2 linked regions of the Caenorhabditis elegans genome follow. The protein of the gene in region 1 purifies or fractionates together with the protein of each later gene. This does not show direct contact. Each region holds a gene or a part of one and is shown on either strand. Other genes may lie near its edges.

Region 1 (3,873 bases):
AAAATAAATTCGTTTAGATTACAGCAATTAAATGAAGAAATGAGCAAAAACTTGAGAGTACATCAACAAGAAATGTGAAAAATCCCACGAAACGATTGCAAACTCAAAGGCGAATAATCCAGTGAAATCCAATTATCGATTTTTTCCAATTGCGGAAATTCACGACTTTTTCCAGAAAAATGAAAAATCGGCGAGCGATTTTCCTATTTCTAACCAAAATAATCGAATAAAATCACCGAAAAATCAAAGATTGTTTTCGAAAATCTCAAAATTTCACGAAAACTTTAACTTTTCCGCAAAATTTCGCACTTTCGATGCAAAAATCAGCAAAATTCACCAATTTCTTGATGAGAAATTGAATTTCTCAGCAAAAACTTGAAAAAATCAAGCTTTCAACTCAAAAAATCGATAAAATTCACTAGGAATTTTACAATCTTCGAAATTCCAGAACTTTTATTCAAAAAAATTCGGCAGAAATCACTATCCCCGCTCTTACAGAGACAGAAACAGAATTCTGGAAAAAATCAGAACTTCCTGAGCGTTCAGCTCCAGAAAAATCGCTTTTTTGTTTTCTCTTTATCAACTACTCGTACAGAGCAAGCTAACAAAAAGAAAAATCCTCGAGACGATCCAAATTCTTCAAAATCCACTCGATTTTCGCAACGAAAAACGAGAATTCCACGGAAACCAACGGCGGTTCGGCCCCCAAGTCAAGTTCCTGTCCACAGAACTTGAATCCAATCCAGTAAACGAGACCAAAAGAAAGAGAAAAACACGATTTTTAAGAACTCTCAAATAAATTTATTGAGAGAAAGAGGAAAAGTATACAAAAACCAAGGAACTGGAGAAGAATCAACACTAAACCAGAAACCTTCAAAGAAACAGGCAGAGCGCCAGAAATCCAAGAAAAACAATAAAAGACTATAAAAATAAGCCAACAACAGGCCAAAACCACTGAAACTGGAGCTCTAACAACGAGTCAACACGCTGTGTCCGAGCAAAATCCAAGAATGAGGAAGAATCCTCGAAAAAAGATGACAAAAACTGATTTCGCGCCAGAATCGAGAAGTGCGCCAGCGTGAGAGTGCGTCAGTCATCTTTGCTTGCGCAAAAGATATTTTTAAATAAAGATTTGAGGTCTGGAATTACCCTTTGAGCTAATCGGAGAGAATTAAGAGAAAAACGGGTTAAACCCGACATAGTCGTCGTTGAATTATGGCATCCCAAGTCAACGCCAGGCGGTGTCGGTGGGAATCCCGGGTAATGATTGCAATTGTGAACACAGTCAGCAGGTTTTGTGGAATTGTGTTTTGTTCGATTATGTCCTCAAAAACTAATTATTGAAGATTCATTATTTGAATAGGTTTTACCAACCTTTTGGATAATCATGTGTCTTTCTATGACGATGGCGATCTGCAAAAAAATTAATGAAAAGGTTTCGATAAAACTAAATTACCTGGCCGAGTTATGGCTAGAACATCATGATGAATTACCAGCGCAAAAAGTAGGAGGATGCCGATTAGCAGCTTCATCCTATAAGAAAAACAAAATAGGTAATCTTTTGAAAAACTGTTTTTGAAAAGAAAAGAAATGTCGACACGCTCTCTGCTCCGATACCTCCGTTTTTAAGGCTGTTCCGTTTTTATAGTTGCAACTTGCGCTTCTGCTGACGTTTTATGCGGGGGATATAAAAATTGCAAACCATTTTTCGGTTTACAGAAGCTTCTTTCTTTTCTTTTTCACTGCAAATTCTCGATTCTGTGAAACAAGTTTGAAAAAAATCTGTGCAGTCTCCAAGTTGTGTTTTTTTCAGAAAGCTATTATTGAAAGCGGCTAAGAAATGTAAAAGTTATTCAGGAATATCTCAGAAGGGACAAAATTTAAAATTTCGGAAAACTTAATAAAAATATGAATATGGAAAATATATATATATATATATATATATGAGAAGCCAAACACAAAGGAAAATCAAAAAATGGTAGAAAAAGATAATAATTGCGCCTTGGAAATCCAATTAAAGGAATTTCCGGTTTTGAAGAGCAAAACTGGCAATTTTTAATAATATTTGTATGTAGTTGTAATTAGTTATAAAATTGAATCCCCACAGAGAAACATATGATTACAGCTTTGAAGTAACTTTTTTTCAGATTTTGAACAGTATCAAACCATGTCTCTCACTTTTCTGAAATCCTCCGTTTTTTTTAATATTCTAACTGTTAACTTTGAAACTGATAATGAGAGTCATAGAAAATATCACTCCTTCTTTAGGCGATTTCGACCGATAGAAAAGTCTATTATGTTGTTGTTTTTTTTTTAACTTCTGATAAGTTCGGGCCCGTCCATCGCATGGGTCCTCAATTTTTAGTCGCGTGTTTGATTTTTTAAAAATATCATAAATTCATGAAACTTGTGTATATGTTAGTTTAAAGGCATACGCTGATTGTCTGAGTGGGTCTCGTCACGATCTTAGTTATGGGGTTATTCAAGTAATGTAGCAAAATGTATTTAAATACATTTGTGACGTCACAAATGTATTTAAATACATGTTTTTATATACTTGAATAAGGTTGTGACGTAATTTTTCTACACTTTTTAATTTTCCGACACTACTTGAATAACCCCATTACTGATAGGTACAAGCTTCAAGTTCGACATAATTATTCATTTCATGTAGAAAAAAAAGGTTTTTGAAGTTCCATAATTTAAACTGCACAGAGCAGTCTGTAAAATGAAGTATTTAAGATAAAACTATTTTCTATATGTGGAACTTGCCGGAGAATGGGATTGACTTGTTTCTCATTCTTGTTTCAGTTTGATTGTAGAACACAGGTACAATGTTAAGTAATTATATTTTCCCCTAAATTCCGAGAAACAAGCATAAATCTAGGAAAAGAGGAACTCGTTTTTAAATTTCCGCCAAAATAGTTATCCGTGGCCTAGAATTTCCACGACGGCCGAACACTTGCATCTATCTCTGTGTCTCTTTGCGTGCACACTCTCTACAATCTCTGTTCTATCGCAGCATAATGGCTCTAATTTTACATATATTCTGTTTTCTACAAATTTTAAAGTTTTTATCGATTTTATTTCCTTATTATAATGATTTAGAATTTAAATTAACTTGAAAAATTAATAAGAGTACTCTTAATTTTTGGTACTAAACTTAATAATCCGTAAAATGCTCTCTGTATAATTTTCTTGGCATAATACGTTGTTTATCTTTGAGAAACATTTTGAAATCACCTTTATTCGATTCTTTGTAGAATGTTCTCAATAACTCGTCGATTACTCAGCAAAAACTGGAAATTCTTGCCAAATCGGGAGCGAATAGTGTTCAAAAACAAAAAAGAGGCTTTTTTTGATTTCGTCAAAGTTTCCGGAGCAAATATATTGTGGCAAATTGGACTAGCAGTTTTAGTTTTGTAAGTAATTTCTAGTCTACCGAAAAAAGGAATTTAATTTTCGCATTTCTTGTAGAGAATTCGCGTTTCCCACTCCCGATATTGTTTATGACTTGAAAAGGCTGATCTCTCCGGATTTTGATCTCTTCTGCAAATCTGGAAATCTTGTGGATTTTGAGATGGACTTTGAGAATAAACTGAGATCGATTCGACGTGAAGAAATCCGAAGTTTGGAGCAATACACGAATGCGAAAAGCCCAGAAGCCAAATTTGGTGGAATAATTTGAAAATTTGTTGATTATTTCGATAACTTTTCGACTTCTTTACTTAGTCTTTTATAACGGTTGATAGCTCTTGTTTGTTAAATATGTTGATTTTGTTAAAATTATGTTATACTTTTTAAATGCCTTTTTCGTTTTCCTACTGGTGACAATTCCACTTGACTACCTTTTCGCATATTTCAATATTTCTC
Region 2 (7,936 bases), on another chromosome or scaffold:
TGTGAAATGAAAGAGATTTAGCACCAATGTTGCGGGGGAGAAGGTCCCCTGGACTACAAGGATTCGTTCTGGTACATTACTAACACGTTGCGTGGAACTCGATCGTTTGTCCCGCCAAGTTGTTGCAAGCAAGCTCAAGTTGGAAGAGCATGGGCACCGGTTCCCATTGACCCGATGTGCACAACATATCGCTACCTTACCACGGCATTTGACACATCTGTAAACACTGTTGTGAGTGTGTATTATGTTTTCTTGCTGGTGTGATTGTTGTGCTAATATTAAAGTTTTTAATTTATTTCTAAAGAAATGAGTTTTCAGGGGTGTAGTGAAAGACTAATGTCGTGGTTCAACGAGCAAATTTGGATATTCGTAGGATTTGGATTCGGTTCTGCACTGACCATGGTAAGGGAGGGTCAGACATTTGTTTCGGCATTTGAAAAAAAATCACATGTTTCACTAGATATAGAAGTTCTTACATGTATAAATTGTAAAATGATAGCCAAAAAAACAAATTAAAAAATTCATACCTTTCCGAGAAATACATCCCAATATCCAAAAAAAAAACTGTTTTAAATATTTATTTTCAGATGCTTGGAATTTGCCTCTCATGTTGTCTCATCTCGAAAATTCGCATTTACCATGTAATTCGAGATGACTACTAAATCACTCTACGGTGAATTAAATTTTCATATCAAACAGGGTACACTTATTACTACGCATTCTACATTGATTATTCCTCAAACTTCTTTCATTCTTTGAATATTTTTAATATCTTCACCATCTTGCCTAAACTTTGTCAATTTTTAGTTTTATTCTTCCTGTGGAACCATTTTATATTTAAAATCTGAAGTTATTAATCAATTAATAAATCATTCATTGCAAGCACTGACCAACGTCACAGCTCTACAAAAAGTGAAGATATTATGCCATGATCTGTAGAGCGCAAGAAATATACAGGTAATTAAAATGTTCGAATGACAAATTAAAAAGGACTGAGAACATATATTAGTGATTAAAATTTCCACGCCGGTCGCTTTTCGGAGGACGAATCTTTCTTAGTTCGGCTGAACAATTGTTGCGATGGTGAGCTTCGCTCCATGCGTTTTTCTGCGTCAAATGGAGAAAGTAGATTTCTGAAAGTAACAATTGATTGTCAAATAGTGTTTGAATTAAATAATAAGAACCTGCTAGAAGAAGATGGAGTCGATTCGAGGTTGTCCGACTTCGATTTCGCTGGACTACGATCTCGTAATCTTGTCAGAATTGAAGGGGACTTGGCACGAGCGGGCGACTTTTCACGGGCCAACCTATTATTAAAGTTTATTCAATATTATAAAGTTTATTCAATACAACCTGTATTTTGGTTTCTGTACTCACTCTTTTGCAGCTTCTTTGGCTGCCTTTTCAGCTTTCTCTTTCTCCTTTTCAGCCTTTTTCTCCGCTTCTTTTCTTGTTCTTTTTTCACTAGCCTCTTCTCTTTTATCTTTCATCTGACTCACAAAATTTTGAAAGACACCATGGGAAGTGATACTCTGTAATTCGACAATTTTCCAAAAAAGTCTTTTCTTAAGTTACCATTCGTTTTTTGGTATGGGGCTCAGAGGTTGATTCATCAGTCTGACGGTCTTGCAATTGTTGGATCAGCTCGTTTTTTCGTTGAAGTGCATTTTCCAAATCCTCAATTTGCTCTTTCCATTTGGATTCCTTATCGGCTTGGAAAACTTGTTCGACTTCTGCTTCAATGTGTGATTGCTCTGCTTTTTCGGCTTCCAACTGCTCCTTCTCAAACATTAATTCTTGAAAAAGCTTGCTTTGCTCTTCGTTTCGCTTCTCATTTTGAGTTTTTTGCATGTACATTTCTTCGTGGAGTTTTGCAATTTCGTTTTCTCTCGATTTCAATCTCTCGTTCATTTCGTTGATGGTCGCCTCCTTTTCGTCGATTTTTTCTTGAATAGAGTTGTCAAAAAGTACAACAGTAGTTTCCTCATTCAGTTGTTGAGTCTGCAATAAAAATTATTTGAGATTTAAAATTTAAGATTTGACTAGAAAAGTGAACTATACCATATCATCGAGTTTTGTACGCATGCCTGTCAACTCGACTTCTCGTTCTTTCAGACAAGTCTCCAATTCGTTAATTCGTTCAGCTTTCGTCAAAACTTCATTATCTTTCTCAGAAATTTGAGTTTGGAAACTCTGGATCTCTTTTTCTCGTTCTTCAGTGACACTGGCAAGCTTTGTCTCAGACTCTACGGTGTTTGATCTGAATTTATATTTTTGTGTAGTAGCGAATTACAAAGCGAAGAGTGAAAATTGACTTACTCTAATAGTTGAGCAGTTTTAGCACTGATCGTTTTAATCTCCTCATTTTTCTTTACAAGCTCATCTTTAATCGTACCCATTTGGTCGAGCATGTCATTGACTCTGTAAAAAAATTATCTAAACATTTAGGATAATAAAATGTGCTACCTTAAATGAAGCTTTTCGATTTGATCAGATTTCGAGCTATTATCAATTTCGAGCTGTGCAATCGTTTTTTCAAGTTCGCTGTCTTTCTCGGTTTCTTTCGTAGAAATCTTCTCGTTGAGCTGAGCAATTTCTTGCTTCAAATGTTCAATGTTTTTGTTTTTGGATTCAAGCTCCTCGAGAAGATTGTCCTTATCAGAAGTAAAAGCCTCCAAATTTTCAGCAACGTGTTTCACCTTTTCCATTTCAGAGAGTAATGTCTTATTTTGTGCTTCCAGCTCTCTAATCTTTGCAGACTTTTCTTTTCCATATTCTTGTTCATTTTCAAATGCACTTTTAAATTGATCAATCTGAAAATTCAATTTTCAACGCGAATTCAAATCCACCTCACCTCAGCCTCAAGGACTCGCACAGTTTCGGTGTGAGTTTCTTTGTGCGCTTCCAACTCCTTCTGAGTGTTTTCGTGTAATAATCGGTTCCTATCTTCGGTGTGAGAAATTTCTTTCTCAAGTTGCTTACGAAGGTTCAATATCTCAGCATCTGAAAATGAGCTTTTAATGATGAAAATTTTTAACTATCAATAACCTTTTCCTGTGATTCTTTCCCTGTATTCTTCAAGAGTTCTAGTCAATTGAGAAGTATCCTCGACAATTTTCGCGAGCTGCTCGGTGATATCATCCTGCTCTTCATCTTCAATTTTCTGAGTTAAAACTCTGATTTCTGCAGCAAGAATGCTCTTTTCAGTTCTCAGAGCTTGAATCTCAATCTCAGATGCCTCTCTAAGCTCATCCTTGTCAAGACGTGCCGATTCTTCGAGCTCCTCTTTCAGACTGGTATACTGTTCTTCAAGCTCATTCAGTTTGCAACTAAATTCTTTTTTCATCGCATGCTCCCTGCTTTCAGCTTGTTGGCGTTCTTTGAGCAGAAGACCCTCGTAGTGTTCTTTTGTTGTCTCCTTTTCTTTTGTGACGCTGTGTAATACCTAAAAGATGAGAATATGGTCATAAGTGGGTATAGGTTGGGTAGTATACCGCTTCGAGAGCATCAACTTGAGAAGATTGGAGTTGGGTCTGACTTTCACTTTGACTTTGCAGGTTCTCACGTTCCTTCTCCAAAAACTCTACTTTATTTTTCAAAGCTTTCACTTCAACTTGCAGATCGGAAATTACAGATTCCAGTTTTTCTTTTGCCGCTTCAACGACGGTCAGTAATCCTAAAATTTCAAATTTTTCATAATTTTTTAAACATAAATATGAAGATATTCTAATATGAAAACTGGAACAAGGCCTCACTTGCTTTCCTTCTCAACTCTTCTTCCTGTTGCTGGAACTTCTTGCGATATTCTGCGAACTCGGAAGTTACCTCAGTCAACCGTCGGATCTTATCATTCGTTTCTGTTTTCACTTGATCCAGTTCTTTTGTCAAAGTTTGAACTTCTTTTTCTTTATTGTGGAGTTTCTTTTCCAGAGCAGTAACGTCGTTTTTGCAAGACACCAAATCTTCGCGACTTCTTTTTGATTGCAACTGCAACTCTTGAAGCCGATCGTGAAACTCATCTTGTCTGAAATAAAAAATATTGTGAAAGAAACTGTGAAATTTTGAATTCGGGTACCTAGCAAGAAGCTCCTCTTTCAGTGCTTCTTCGTGATCTCTCAAGGCTTCCAGTTCCTTAGTATAGAGCATTTTTGCAGCAGTTAGTTCAGTTTCATACAAAGATTGAGCTCTTCGAAGCTTCATTTCAAAAGTTTCACCGAGTCTTTCTTTTTCAGTTCGCAAAGACTTCCGTTCTTCTTCCAACCTTTGAATTTCAATTATATATCTGCAAAATAATTCAGTTAATGAAAAAAAAATTCAGAAAAATGTTTTCACTTTTGTTCTAGGTTGAGCAATTGTGTATCTGAAAATCGTTGTTCTAACACTTGAATTTCCTTCTGATGTTCCTTGCGGAGCTTTTCCAGAGCCTGCTCTTTCTCCCTTTCGAATTTATCTTGGAGAGCTTGGAAACTTTTCATTCTTGCTTCAAAGTCCTTTTTGGCACCTAGCACTTCTTCAGAAAGGGCGATTATTTTACCAGAGTACTCAGCTTCTAACTTTCGCTCCCTTTCAGCAACTCGTTCTCTGAAAATAACTAACATTATTTCAAAATTGTATGCACTTTACAAACCTGTATTCACTGAATGTGCCCATGACGTTGTATTTTTGCCTTTCATACTCTGCCACAGTTTCTTCCAGTGTTTGAATTTTCCTTTTCAATTCGGTTTCTCGTCCAGCTGGCTGAGCTAGAATAATTTAATTGTTTCCAACTTTTCAATATTTTACACGTACGTGAATTATTTCTAGAAGTATTTCTCGATGATTCTCTTGCAACATGTGACAATTTCAAAATTGATAGCAATGAAGTGTTATCAATGTCATGCCTAGAACTTGCTCGTGAATGTTGGCTAACTGGAGATATTGGAGATGGTGAAATCGGGCCACTTGGTGCCCTCCGCAAAACTGGTGACGGGGGAGCTGGTCCTCCGACTGGTGTTCGAACATTTCCAGAGAGGCAACCTAGTTGATGCGCCGGTGGAGGTGCAGGCCAAGCAGCGATTTCAGGATGGGATTGTCTTACGAAAGGTCGAGTCACACCTACGGCTGGTTCACTGGAAAAAGAAAACGTTAAGGGTAAGGAGGTATCAAGTATCACATTTCGCAAACGAAAAGGAAAATGAAACTCACTGAGTTCCATGGGGCCTTGGAGATCTGCTCATTCTTCTAGGTGATCGACTTCCTGATGGAGATGCGGATCGGAGACTTCCATCAAACTCTTCGGATAATATACCAAGCTGAAACAGGTTACTACTAAAAGTTCAAGAAAAACAGTTGATGTTGCTGAGAAACCATCAGTTAGACTTAAAGGTTGAGTAAAAATCCGTTCTGAAAAATTCTAAAAAATTGTTGGAAAAAATACCTATTTTCTCAGGTTTTACACACTTATCGGTATCGAAGCGGACATAATCTTATTGTTATATAATTACGACTTTTTGTACCACATTTTTGTATTTTTACGCGTTGATTCATCGAATTATGCACCATATTTTCAAGTTAAGAAAGATTAAAATTTCAGCTGAAACTGCGCCTTTTCTCCAAAACTTCGAACAACTATAACTTTTAATTTGAGAAATATTTCGAATTTTTCTTAGCGAAACTTGGATAGCTGTGCATATAAATAAAGGCAAACCTTTAGGCTTACAATGCAGTAGCATTTTTAAAGCACACAGATTGGCTTAGTTTGAAAGCCTAATCAAATTGAATTTACTCACTCTTTCTCGTAAGCGCTCTGACATTGAAAAGGGCTTTGACAGCCCTCTTTAGACTGATTATCTGTGGTTAAGTGATGACGTGGCGCTGAAAATAGTTGAATTAAGTTTTATGTCTAGAACTAGAAAAAGTAAACGAAAAAATAAATAAGAGAACAGTTATATAAAAATAAATTAGGGATTCCTTTATCAGAAAATACAAATTCAGTAAAACAAAAGGTATAGAAGCCTAGAGGTTCTCGATATAATAGACAAGGAGTGATTCAGAAAGAGAGATGTAGAAGTGACTGGACACTTCCGAACGAGCAACTGTTCAAGAGAAGAGACTAAGAGATCCGGATAGAAGAGCCAACTGTTGCGCCTTGTAGTCGACATGATACTACTCAACACCGGCGGTGGATATACGAATGGACGTTGTGCCACTCACCCGGGAGGGGGAGAAACATCGAGACTGCTATATCAGATAATGAGTACGCACACAGCAGTGCACATAGGATACGTTGACAAGACCCGATGAATGTGATGACGGTGAGCATAACGCTGCCGAAATGTGTACGGATTGATTGAAAAATAGATTAAGGGGGCTATCAATTTAGATTTATTGCTTTAATTTTTCAATTTGTTGTAAGCCATAAGGAAAAAATGAGCAAAAGTTGTATCCTCTTCGATAGCGTTTTTTTTTTTCAAAAGATTTCGTCAGCCTAATTTCAAAACATACAGATTGGATAAAATGTTTCAATTTCAAAAATATTTCGTAGACAAAAATAGCTATATTTAACTTCTTCATCTAGTTTCACTTAAGCACGATCTCTTTTGATTTTTTGATTTTGATTTTGATTTTGGGAATTAAATGTTTGAGGTAATAATAAATAATCAACAAAATAATAATGTCCGTCTGTCCAGTTTGCCTAATTTGTTTGTGAAGTCAAAAACGCGTCTCTTGAGTTATTCAACCCTTTCTAAACTTGAATTTAAAATTGGTAGAAGTTTGAAACTGGTTAGAGCCTCTGAAAAGATGAAGAAATACAAGACTAGACATTTTTATTCTAAAAATCTCAATACATAAATTGATTTACCCATAAAGTCAATAAATTAAAATTGAAGACAATGACACGTAATTAAATGGACTGAAAAATACAACTGAATGGTCATGGTTAATCACAGTTAAAACATCTGATCACTGGGTACAATGTGTACAAACAATAACGGAATCTAGAAAAGGTTGAAGAAAATTTCTTCGTAATACTCTAATTTGTCAGTAGAATCGCTGGTGAGACCGGCCAAAAAGCATAGTTCCGGAAGAATAGCTGGCGGCAAGTTCAGCTGAAGTTGCTCGTAGATTGTAATACGCGAGAGACTTTGCGGACGTTGAACCTGTAAATAGTCAGTTTGAGACACTTAAAAGTACCAAAATTCATTAAAACTCACCATTTTGAATGCCAAAATGCGTTTTTCAATAAACTGTAACACTTTGTTCATTTCATTCGAATTTTCTTCCCAAGTTTTCACAAAAGTATCCACCGTTTCATAGAATTTTTGATATGAGAAATTTTCGTGAAAAATTGGACGACCCGATTCTGAAATCTTCTTTGCTCTGTTAGCAATTGCCATTTGAACTGCATGCAGGATTTGGGGACTGATCAACGATGGCGGTGGATTCGAGACGGGTCTTTTTCCTCGCTTCTTTTCTGAAATTGAAAATATTAGTACCAAATGGCGATGATGAATCTCACTTTGGTCTTTCTGTCCTGAGCTTGAGTAGTCACCACCAGCTTGCTCCACATGCTTCTGTCTTTCTCGATATGCTGCTTCCAGTACATCGTCATCAGTTTCCAATTGATTTGCCTTCTGTGCAGCCATAAGGCGCTTTTCTTTTTTTGTCAACTTTTTCCTGGCGTCGGGTAGAGCAATAGTTGATGCTTCTTTGCTATCCTCGTCAATGGTGGAAGCGGCCAAAGTCTGCTGACATTTTTGCAATGGTTTTTCGACTTTTGACAATGGCAGCGGGTAGACGAGTTTTTGTGTTTTCTGTGGTACAAAACTGAAAATTACAGAATTTATCATTTTAGCAGTAATATCAAAAAATCACCATTTCTTCCTGCCCGTCGCCTCCTGCCATGATTCCAAAACGTCATCCGACGTATCCAGATACTTAATGATTTCAGATATTG

The links.
Region 2: the proteins of plg-1 (region 1) and tag-278 fractionate together in Caenorhabditis elegans (co-fractionation; one large-scale study listed by BioGRID). This does not show direct contact.

Annotation. Positions count from the first base shown.
Region 1 is NC_003281.10:8,849,923-8,853,795, reverse strand, and holds plg-1 (copulatory PLuG formation), read right to left. Parts: upstream 1,536-3,873; 5' UTR 1,533-1,535; coding exon 1,457-1,532; intron 1,414-1,456; coding exon 1,375-1,413; intron 1,326-1,374; coding exon 1,090-1,325; 3' UTR 790-1,089; downstream 1-789. Other genes in the region: F44E2.9 (uncharacterized protein), read left to right, coding at 3,265-3,422, 3,478-3,688.
Region 2 is NC_003284.9:3,683,353-3,691,288, forward strand, and holds tag-278 (Putative protein tag-278), read right to left. Parts: upstream 5,854-7,936; 5' UTR 5,793-5,853; coding exon 5,769-5,792; intron 5,292-5,768; coding exon 5,185-5,291; intron 5,109-5,184; coding exon 4,789-5,108; intron 4,743-4,788; coding exon 4,628-4,742; intron 4,582-4,627; coding exon 4,333-4,581; intron 4,283-4,332; coding exon 4,076-4,282; intron 4,025-4,075; coding exon 3,756-4,024; intron 3,677-3,755; coding exon 3,495-3,676; intron 3,446-3,494; coding exon 3,049-3,445; intron 3,004-3,048; coding exon 2,855-3,003; intron 2,814-2,854; coding exon 2,467-2,813; intron 2,422-2,466; coding exon 2,320-2,421; intron 2,261-2,319; coding exon 2,062-2,260; intron 2,002-2,061; coding exon 1,576-2,001; intron 1,533-1,575; coding exon 1,378-1,532; intron 1,308-1,377; coding exon 1,185-1,307; intron 1,134-1,184; coding exon 1,013-1,133; 3' UTR 860-1,012; downstream 1-859. Other genes in the region: tsp-17 (Tetraspanin-17), read left to right, coding at 319-402, 588-662; C02F12.8 (uncharacterized protein), read right to left, coding at 6,978-7,139, 7,194-7,453, 7,499-7,806, 7,855-7,936.